Linked DNA regions of Bombyx mori. The protein of the gene in region 2 purifies or fractionates together with the protein of the main gene of each other region. This does not show direct contact. Links are inferred from orthologs where the notes say so. Each region holds a gene or a part of one and is shown on either strand. Other genes may lie near its edges.

Region 1 (3,658 bases), on a different chromosome or scaffold from region 2:
GTCCTGGCGACATGGAGGGTGCCCGCAGACAACAGATCATGCTGCAAACGCAATTAGCCAAGAATCTCTTCAAAATGGGACAGTTTGGTAAGTCTACAAATTTTTTATGAAATAACAAAAATCTAGAGATATATTTTTTGTTATGCACACTACTAATTAACTACATATATTAACTACTGGCTGACCCGGCAGACTTCGTAATGCCTCAATCGATAAATAAAAAACCTAAACTTTTGTATAAAATGAACTAAAAATAAAAACAAAAGGAATCCGTCCGACGGGGGACACATCAAAGAATAAACAAAATTGTCATCTTTATTTAATTCTGAGCATTTTCGTATTTAATCCAAATCCCAAATTTAAGCCAAATTGGTTCAGCCGTTCTCGAGTTTTAGCGAGACTATCGAACAGCAATTCATTTTTATATATATATAGATGTTTAGTTCAGCAAAATACTATGTCAAAAAAATTTCTATCTATCGTCTAATTGCACCTGCATGCTGTTCTGACCTTAATGTGGTGATCGACAGGAGCCATCAACGAGTACCTGCAGTCGGCGTACGGCGCCGCGCCCGAGCCCCCGCCCCCCGCCGACGACGCGCGCCCCGACGGTACCACACGCACGCACTTGCACACACTACTGGACCCTAGTCGCTAGGCAGGGATCGTCGCCTGTCATATCTGAGAATTAATTTAATCAAAATTCCGGTGATGTTTGGCGGAGTGCCCTGCCTTCAAAATGTGTGTGTGTATCGGTCGGTGAATTGAGATACCAAGGCTTGCAGACGACGACTATGTTGAGAAGTCGAGACCAAAGTAGCATCTAAAAGTCGATTCTGGACGCACCCGCTCATTGTCTCCTGCTGTCACTTCCGCCTGACCTCTATCTAGTTACTGGAGGTCACAAACACCGCCCGTAAGATATACATATTGACATCGTTATGTTCGTTGACAAGAGTATGTACAATTTCCAGAGATGGAGGTGTGCTCGGTGCTGGTGCCCGGCGGCGGCGCGCTGCCCCTGCACGCCGCCTGCGAGAGCGCCGCGCGCCTGCTGGCCGCCACCGCGCGCGCACTCGCCGCGCTGCCCGCCGCCACCGCGCTGCCGTACGTACCTGCGCACGCACCCGCACGCACCCGCACGCACGCACGCACCCGCACGCACGCACGCACGCACCCGCACGCACGCACGCACGCACCCGCACGCACGCACGCACGCACCCGCACGCACGCACCCGCACGCGCGCACGCACCCGCACGCACGCACGCACTCACCCACCCGCACGCACGCACGCACGCACCCGCACGCACGCACGCACCCGCACGCACGCACGCACGCACCCGCACGCACGCACCCGCACGCACGCACGCACCCACACGCACGCACTCGCACGCGCGCACGCACCCGCACGCACGCACCCACCCGCACGCGCGCACGCACCCGCACGCACGCACGCACCCACCCGCACGCACGCACGCACGCACCCGCACGCACGCACGCACCCGCACGCACGGTGGTAGATTCTGCGAAGCACGGCACTTACAAGGGCCAGTGCTAGCAACACTCCGTTTAGAGCGTTTAGAGCAGCCTTTCCCAAAGTGAGCGATAACGCCCCCTTGTAGACGCTGAAGGACCCAAGGAGGGCGGTAAGAGACCCAGAAAAAAATGGGGGCGTTGTGTAGAGGCTTGGGAGGCGATTTGTAATTTCATCTAGGAGGGCTCTTGAACACCGACTGAGCTCTCAGTTTTTAAGTAGGCGAAAAAATGGGGGCGCTAAAATAGATTTTGTTCTCAAAGTGGGCAGTAGACAAAGAAGCTGAAATAGCCTCTCTAGGCTACGAGCATAGGTAGGAAAAAACATTATTTTTGTGAACTTTGAGAGCAGATGGTTAGAACCATGGACATCAGCAATGTCTGGGCACTGTGGAAGGATTTCAGAGTACGATAATATAAGAGAGCAATGTCCCTTGCAAACACAGTCCTTGTATGTTTGCACGCAGCGAGAATCTGTTGTATCGTGTATTATGAGGAACTCTGCCGTGGCATCCCCCGCCCCCGGACCAAACTCCACCCTTGATTTGCGACCGCTGCACTACTGCACTGACCACTTCTACGGAATAAGCTTTACTTACACCAAACGTTTTTTTTTTTTTTTTTCAAGTGATTTTATGTCCTGGGGACTAAGACCCTCAGGTCAAGTCTTATTTTAATTGTAATGAAAACTTTTTATAGGAAAATTTTTTTTTATGAAATGAAATGAAGTTGATTAATATGAAACATGACATGAAATATAATCTCAGTAATATAGTGGTTATTTACTGAAATTTTTTCAGTGAACTTTTTGGAGGATCCCGATAAGTTCACACATTCAGTGGCTTTGTTTCATTTTCCCACGTTTGTGCCCTTTTACAGATATTAAACAATTAATAAACCACCGGTATTACACATTAAACACGAAGAAACTTCACACCTCGCGTTCCCGCCAAAAGAATATTCTTGATTGTGCTTTCTCGTATTACCAAGCGCTAAACGAGTAAAATAGTCCTTATAGTGAGCAGTAGGTTCATGTGGACCACTCGGGCGGTAGGCCGTATGCTCGTCTACTTCTAAAGACAACATAATATTGTTTTTTTATTGCCTAGATGGGTAGACGAGCTGACAGCCCATCTGATGTTAAGTGGTTACTGGAGCCCATAGACATCTACAACGTAAATGCGCCACCCACCTTGAGATATAAGTTCTAAGATCTCAGTATAGTTACAACGGCTACCCTGCCCTTGCTTCACGGCAGAAATAGACAGGGCGGTGGTATCTACCCGCGCGGACTCACGAGAGGTCCTACCACCATATAAGGTTCGGTATATATTCTGATCAGGTTCGAGATCCAAGTGACGCTGTTCAAGAAGTCGTGGGCCGAGCTGTTCGTGCTGGGTCTGTGCAAGTTGTCGCACGAGATGTCCCTGGGCACGCTGCTGCCGAGCATGGCGGGGCACCTGCACGCCGTGCTGCGGGAGCGCGCGTCCGGCGCCGCAGCCGCGCACGCACCGCTCGACGACCACGCGCCCGAGGTCTGCTGAATAGATATGACACATCAATCAGTTATAGATAACTCGACTTTAACTCGTCGTGGCTTAAAGGATAAGAAGTCCGGTGCATTCGTATGTAGCGATGCACCGGTGTTCGAATCCCGCAGGCGGGTACCAATTTTTCTAATAAAATACTTACTTAACAATTGTTCACGATTGACTTCCACGGTGAAGGAATAACATCGTGTAATAAAAATGAAACCCGCAAAATTATCATCATCATTAACCTGCCCTTCTTCCAGTCACCAGGGGTCGGTGCAACATGCTTCCTCCTTCCATACTCTTCTATCATATACCATTTCTTCACTCACTCCCCTCTTACCCATATCGTATTTCACGCTATCCATCCATTTCTTCTCATGTCTACCTCTTCCTCTTTAACCTTCCACATTCATAGTTAACACTCTCTTACCAACCTCATTTTCATTTCGTCTCATCACATGTCCATACCATCCCAAACGCACACTTCTCAGCTTCTCTGTCACAAGTGCTGCTTTCAGACTTCCTCTAACATATTCATTCCATCCATTCTATCCATTCTCGTTACTCCACACATCCATCGTAACATTCG
Region 2 (3,626 bases):
TAGAACGCCGCCCGGATCCCATTAGATATGAGATCGAACTGTAAATCTTATTGATCCTCTCTCCCTTCAAATCAGTGTGTTTAGTGCGAGTTTTTTAACGTTCTCGATAGCGTAAAAGTTAACCCAATTTTGTATGCGGTTGGAACAGCGCCCCTAGCGGCAAACGTAGGCGAACGATCCCATCCCATACAAATATGACCTAACTTTTACGTTATCGAGAACGTTAAATAACTCGCACTAAGCACACAGAATGAAAAACTGCTTTGCAACAGAAATGCGCAAAGAATTTTATTCGCCAAACATGAAATAGACGACGCTTTTTTGTGCTTATTGTTGAAGTTGAAACCACTATTCATTAGATTTGTTTAATTAAAATAAATAATCCTTTTGAATACTTCGTAAATTTCGTCAGCGCTATTAAACACATATACTCGATATTCCAAGAGTACTGTGATCGAATTGTTAAACAGAAAGGGACAGATGGTCCCAACTTTACACTCCCTATTCCCAATTGTTATTTTCAATCAAAACAATCTTGGCTTCCTGAGAGATTTGTTTTTTAATCCTTCAATTATTAGTAACAAAAAAATACAAATCAAGTGCGGACAAAACATATAAAGTATGTAAAAGGACATGAGAATATTTTTTAGAACGTGCATTAATTTTTATCTAAATCTAAAACGTATTCAAACCACTGACATAAAATTAAATTTTATCATTATACGCTCGTGTAAGCATTACATATGAATGTTTACTTATATTCTAAAAACTTTGGTTACGCAATAAAAAAAATTAAGCACACGTCAAACGGTTCTTAAATTAAATTTAATTCCATTTTTATGAGAATCTTTATTTTTAAAACAAAACTCATTTTTCTTTTATTTTGTGTAATACTCGTACCTCTGCAATTTTAATCACTAAGTACATGGATATTTTCTTAAGGGATGGGCATTGTGTGTGTGACAACCTTTTTTCTGTATTGCCAATTGCGCAAAATGTAAATTTTGTATTAAATATTTTTAATTCATTGGTAAGAATTGTTTGTTTTTTCAAACACGAAAACTATAAAATGTTTACCAACAAAACAAAAAAAAAGCACTTCATATAATTTACCACAGTATAAAAGAAAAAGGCACTGAATAAAAATACACAAGTCACATAAAATGACATTCTTATATGTATACATTTAGTGTGTATTAAAATTAGATTATGCAGTTAAGCTTATTTTTTTGTATTTTTTATTTTATTTTATCACATTAACGTTCATTACTGTAGCATACCGATACTAAGTGCGGTTCACTATTTTTTTGACTTTTTTTAAATAATTTATTCCGAGGGTGTGTTTACAACGTTTATCTATAAATCTAAAGCGATTTTGATAGATAATTTTAAGTACATGCCACAAAGTATGGCACGAAGAGAAAAAAAATATTGTTACCAGAATCAAAAATATTTTAAAAAGAAATTTTAAAACTATAATTTCGAGGAACCTAGTACGTTATTGCTGTTAGTAAGTGTTTTATCATTTGTTTACTATTAGGAAGACTTTTGTTAAAAATAGAAGAAGATTAGAAAGATCTTTTATTAAAAAACACACTTTCGATACTGAAAAATTTCGTATTGAATTTTAAAAGGTGCGATTAGTGCGTTCATACGAAAAAAAAATTTGCGAACAAAACATTCCCGTCCCACTCTCTTATTGCGACAGGAAAATACTTTCATGTATATCCGAACGCACCCCAACTCTAAACTACAAATAGATCGATTTTATAAACCAATCGTTTACGCCAATTAAACATTTCTCCCACAGCCTTTTCCATAGACTAATTACAGATGAAAAAAAACATGCAAATAAATCAAATAAATATTAACAACAATCACAAATAATACTAAAATAAATACAACTAATCTAATGTCAACGTGAAAATAAATAAATTGCGGAGCATTACTACAGAACATTTTTGTGCTAGAAAATTTTATGAAAGCTAAATTTCATGTAAGCAATAATACATTTGACGACCTCTATAGTCTATGTACCTACGTTAGCTAAATAAATCTGAACAAAAACAAAACTATTAGGAACTGTGTATTCGAACCTGCGTTTTGAATTCGCTTCGATCGCAAAGGTTCTAAATTAATTGGCCGTCTCATTAGTGAAAGACTGTGCGTAAACCTGTTGGGCGCTCTGCACCGTCACTTTAGTATAAGCGTCGACATTTTTCTCAACGAGACTCGTAACGGGCGGGGAGTGAGACGACGGGAGACCGTGACGTAAATGACTTTGCTTCGATAGGACATTGATGCCGAGATTACTTTTAGTGATGGTAAACGATGAGAGATCTTTGTTTTTTAGTGTGTCATAGATGCGAACCAGCTTGTTGCTGTCAGCTCCGTCGGGGCCGTGGTGCGGACGAGAGCCCGACGCCGTCACCACGACGGCGGGCATTCTCTGCGCCGGCCGGACCAGCTCTGATGGGACCGCCAGCACTGTGCTATTGGCGATGTGTTGCGATATGGAGTGGCTCTTAAATCCTTGGGCGGTTTTGTAACTTTTGCCGCACTGGCATTTGTAAGCCTTTCTTACCCTGAAACATACGATCCTTCGTTGGATTTCATACTAATTTCGTACAGTACAAATAATCCAACAATATATAAAATGAATGACTGTATGTTTGCTCGTAATATAATCCATATGTGCGTATTTCATCCTATTATTGCTATGTTGACTTTTCGTAGTTCGTATTGGCAATTAAGGCCAAGTTTTTATTACAATTCCATCAACGTAAAACAGATTATAAATCTAAGTACTCTATTATCATCGACAAAAACAATGAACTACACTCGATAATCCAAAAAGATTTAGGTGCGTAATAAGTATTTAATACTAGCGTTTATCTTGTACCCATTTCTTCCAAAAGTATTCTTGCGGAGTCAAACGCTTCTTTGGTGCGGACGATCGCTTTTTACTGAACAGACCAGGCGCTGACAACATCGGGTATTGTCTAGACATTGCCAAATCGATTTAACTCTTTACTTTATACCGGACATGATAACAGACGCGAATTTCATTTCCTCAAACTATTCTCCTCATCCGAAACAATATCTAAATCTAATGATAACAATAAATGCGAGACTAAACCGTATATTTTTTTTATTGCACCTTGTGTTAAGTGGTTACCGGAGCCCATAGAAATCTACAACGTAAATGCCGCCACCCACCTTGAGATATGAGTTTTTAGGTCCCAGTTTTTACAATACAATAGCTGCCCCACCCTTCAAGCCGAAACGCATCACTGCTTCACGGCAGACATAGGCAGGGTGGTGGTACCCACCTGTGCGGGCTCACAAGACGTCCTGCTACTAGTAATTACTTAAATTATAATGTTGCGCAAACGTGTGTCTTCAACGGATTAGATTCTAACTCGCCCCAGACAGTTCTCCACTTCAGACACAAGTTTTGATCGTCTCTCTTGCACCACGCTCCGAGAGTCTGATGGCCGATATATTGCGCATCCCCCGCGCTGTCATCCGCATAGCAAACCATGCCATCAATAGACAGCATGTCATTGATATACAGGATGAAAAGCATGGGGGAGAGCACCGAACCTTGTGGAACGCCAGCGTTA
Region 3 (4,130 bases), on a different chromosome or scaffold from region 2:
TTATTTACGAGAGGCAGAGGGGAAACTCGGCGGGACATAGCTCATAAAATTAACTAAAGAAAAACTAAGTTTCAAGTTACACACAAAATATATGTATCTAAAATTTGAGAGAAATTAATGTGAGATATTATTTTATTTTCCGGAATTCCTTAAAAATAATTAAAAAGTCGTTTGAATGCTGATAATTAATTTCGTGTGACTCGTTTCAGGCCTAAATGACAAACATGACCCTAAACGCATACTGGGAATAATAACCTATAAGGACTTTAAAAGATTAGATTTTTAATTGTGTCGAATCGGTAGGCGATTCTAAGGCTCACTTGGCACGCGATTATCATCCCTAACGCCCCACGACATAGACAACTCAGTGGATTGTGGAAAATAGTGGAAATATTTTTTTATTTTTTTATATCTTAGATGGGTGGACGAGCTCACAGCCCACCTGGTATCAAGTGGTTACTGGAGCCCATAGACATCCACAACGTAAATGCGCCACCCACCTTGAGATATAAGTTCTAAGGTCTCAAGTATAGTTACAACGGCTACCCCACCCTTCAAACCGAAACGCATTACTACTTCACGGCAGAAATAGGCAGGGTGGTGGTGCCTACCCGCGCGGACTCACAAGAGGTCCTACCACCAGTAATTACACAGATTATAATTTTGCGGGTTTCATTTTTATTACACGATGTTATTCCTTCACCGTGGAAATCAATCGTGAACATTTGTTGAGTACGTATTTCATTAGAAAAATTGGTACCCGCCTGCGGGATTCGAACACCGGTGCATTGCTCAACACGAATGCACCGGACGTCATATCCGTTAGGCCACGACGACTTCAAAAAATATGTCATAGATCTATCTTATTTAAAAAGTGTATTAGAGTCTAACTATCATAGATTTATACACTTAATATATTCGAGATAACTATACTGAGACCTTAGAACCTATATCTCAAGGTGGGTGGCGCATTTACCTTGTATGGGCTCCAGTAACCACTTAACGCCAGGTGAGCTGTGAGCTCATTCCCCCATCTAAGCAATAAATAAAAGAAATAATAATAATTGAACACGCCAACTAACAAGCCGCTGAACGTAACTTCTCGGGATCCTCCAAAAATTTCACTGAAAAAGTCTACAATGAAATGACAACCATTTTAATGAGATTATATATTTTCTTCCTATATCATCTCATCTTAATTGATTTCTTTTTCATTCCATTTCGTTTTCATTTCATTTGATTTCATTTCATGCCATGTTTTATATTAATCAACTTCATTTATATGTAAAATTATAATATGAAATAAAATATTATAATTTTACATATAAAAAAGTTTTCATTACAATTAAAATAAGACTTGACCCGAAGGTCTTGATAACCAGGTCATTAAATACTTTAAAAAAAATATATTTGTTTTGTATCATGTTTGACGTTTGTATCATAGAATAAACACTTATTAATTGTGTTCTAAACAGTTAAATAATAAAATAAAAATAATATACTTTCAAAACAGTAAATACACATTACATGGACAATTAAACAACTATAAATAGTTATGTAATCTCGAAACTCCATTTCCAAAACATAACCTCAAAATGAGCTCGATACAAGAGCGTCTTCAGCTCAAAAGAGTTCCTCTGGACACTTGGAATATACGTGAACAGCTATGCCTGGCCTCCGCCGTGGTCAGAAGCGGGGATCAGAACTGGATGTCGGTTTCCCGCGCTCTAAAGACCCTTGGCGAGCCAAACAGGCCTCCGGACTGGTATTCCCAAAAAAGGTTTTGTTTTTCTTTTATATCTACTATATAATTATTGATACAGGTTTGAAATAGCTTGCGATAGTGAAGTGGTGGCTGAGTTGATGAGAAACACATTCGTTTTTACACATTTATTTTTTATTTTCAAACCATTTTTGCATTATTCACCAATGAAAATTCCACCACGCTTTCCACGTTATTTGAACTCGATAAAACTTAAAATTATATTCAGTAGAGCTATTATAGTATTTAGTAGGCTATAATAGGTCAACACACACTCCTCTCTCTCTCATATCGTCATTCACACACTCCATCCATGTCTTCTTTGGTCAAGTTTTCCCCCTCTACCTTGCACTACAATTTCCATAAATCTCCTAGTCTCATGCATCTCCTCTCTACGCATAACATGTCGATACCACGTGAACTGTCCGCTCTTTAAGTCTTTCCACTCGCTAAAAGACACCCTCTATAACTTTGACAACATTAGGATTGGTTAAACACAGCTCTTATATTATATGGCGGGTGGCCCCAATAATTAAATGTTCAAAAGAAATGTTAATACAACATTTTGACAAAACAATAACACCGAGTTAAACAAAATAAAATGAGATCATTGTCAAAAGCCAATTGAATATTCAATATTATAAATAATTTATAAAAATATATTATCAAATAAACTAAAATAAGTAGCATATATAGCAATAAGTTTGTTCTACACACACTTATCACATTTTATTATTATTCTCATTATCCTCTCGCAGGTCTGCTGGAAGAGATTTCTCAAAGAAATAAGTAGTGCCTTTGTACATAATTTTCCTATTACTCTGTACTGTGTCTTGTTTTCTGTGTGTACATAAATAAATAAATAAAATAAATAATAAAATAGCACTAGCTTTAAAATAAAATCATTTAATGTAATTACACTTTGGAAAGAGTTCTGATATAATGGCATATAAAAAGAGTCTAACTAAGTATGTACCTTCTTTATTTAAAATCTATGAAAAAATTTAAATTTTGCAGATTGCTCCTTAAATCCCCAGTAAATTAATCCTATTCATAAAAAAATTAACAAAATTACAAATAACTTATTTGAAAGACACTAAAGCTCTAATTAATTATATTCATTCTATTATTTTAAATAGTTATATTGTTTATGAGCTTATTCAATCCATATCAAACTGCGTAGATGTCATGTCTTCCTCTGAAGCATTGGATAGCTGAATGATAATGAGATTTAGATCTACAAGAACTGTGGGCTCCGTTATCCGTATGTCATTAACACATTTCCATCCATCAGCTGTGCTGCACAATATGGAACGCTATTAGAACATGTGGAAACGCCGAAACGAAAAAAGAGAAACTCTGACGGTGGCGTGGAAACTCCACAGGAGAGTATATTGAAACGTTTAACCCAAGATCGGATAGCCGAGATCCAGAAGAATATTGCTGAAATGAGTCAACAACATGAAGTAATGAAGGTATTTAATTTTCAAGTGAAACTTCTTTCTTTCTTCTTTATGAGGGTAAAATTTTTACAGAACGTCACGCAGGTATGCAACGGAAGGACATCAAACTACTATTAAAATTAAGTACTTGTCAAATGTCAGTAGTAGTAGTTGTTGTATTTTTCCAACTGGAAAGGCAAATGTATCATATCATACAGCCTAATATTTTATTTTTTTGTGAAAAATGTTAATAGGAATTGAAATGAAATGAAAAGAATTTGGAACATAGCATGAAATTAAATTAGTCAATTCAATTGGCAAAATATTAGTCATCTACAATTTAGAAATCTAAGCATAATGTGAATGTCAACACTGAGGTTTGAGATTGACATTTGACAGACTTTTGGCGGGAACATATCTTCCTTTTTCCCTTCTTCTAAGTCTTGGAAATCTAAAGTTTTAGATTTGCATAAATATAAGTAAGACTTATAAATTAGTTCGCCAAAAAAGTTTCACTTCTGACATGTGTACTTTGTACGCACGCACTTTTTTTTTTTTATAAATCTCAAGCTTTTTATAAAACTTTAAGTGCTGTCAGAGTTGTTAAGTATTGGCTAATATCTGACCATTTAGTGACAGTTCGGTGTCAACATCAACATCAACTTTTAAAAGGTTTTATAGCCTAGTAATGAGAGTTTTAAGTCAAAGTCTTATTTTTACACACCAGTGCATCGCTACATACGAATGCACCGGACCTCTTATCCTTTAGGCCACGACGACTTCACTTTGACTCATAAATATAAGCTAGTAATATATCTTTCTTTACCTTTGTACCACAGGATGAATTATCGGAGATCCGTAATCCTTCAACGTCTGATGAGCGTCTGCTTGAGCTCTGGGCCAACATGGAGTCCGCGAAACGGGCT

What was found.
Region 1: the proteins of juxtaposed with another zinc finger protein 1 (region 2) and Or purify together in Homo sapiens (affinity purification with mass spectrometry; 4 studies listed by BioGRID and IntAct, with this or other methods). This does not show direct contact. The link is inferred for Bombyx mori from reciprocal best matches to the Homo sapiens genes JAZF1 and NR2C2.
Region 3: the proteins of juxtaposed with another zinc finger protein 1 (region 2) and bromodomain-containing protein 8 purify together in Homo sapiens (affinity purification with mass spectrometry; 3 studies listed by BioGRID and IntAct, with this or other methods). This does not show direct contact. The link is inferred for Bombyx mori from reciprocal best matches to the Homo sapiens genes JAZF1 and BRD8.

The regions. Positions count from the first base shown.
Region 1 is NC_085133.1:379,738-383,395, forward strand, and holds part of Or (nuclear orphan receptor), read left to right. Parts: coding exon 1-87; intron 88-530; coding exon 531-611; intron 612-974; coding exon 975-1,107; intron 1,108-2,876; coding exon 2,877-3,069; intron 3,070-3,658. UniProt on the Homo sapiens protein: Orphan nuclear receptor that can act as a repressor or activator of transcription.
Region 2 is NC_085112.1:4,199,329-4,202,954, reverse strand, and holds part of juxtaposed with another zinc finger protein 1, read right to left. Parts: intron 3,003-3,626; coding exon of another isoform or gene 2,903-3,002; intron 2,586-2,902; coding exon 2,135-2,585; 3' UTR 1-2,134. UniProt on the Homo sapiens protein: Acts as a transcriptional corepressor of orphan nuclear receptor NR2C2. Inhibits expression of the gluconeogenesis enzyme PCK2 through inhibition of NR2C2 activity.
Region 3 is NC_085117.1:1,939,437-1,943,566, reverse strand, and holds the start of bromodomain-containing protein 8, read left to right. Parts: upstream 1-1,243; 5' UTR 1,244-1,595; coding exon 1,596-1,780; intron 1,781-3,056; coding exon 3,057-3,237; intron 3,238-4,043; coding exon 4,044-4,130. Other genes in the region: uncharacterized protein LOC101740762, read left to right, coding at 1-47. UniProt on the Homo sapiens protein: May act as a coactivator during transcriptional activation by hormone-activated nuclear receptors (NR). Isoform 2 stimulates transcriptional activation by AR/DHTR, ESR1/NR3A1, RXRA/NR2B1 and THRB/ERBA2.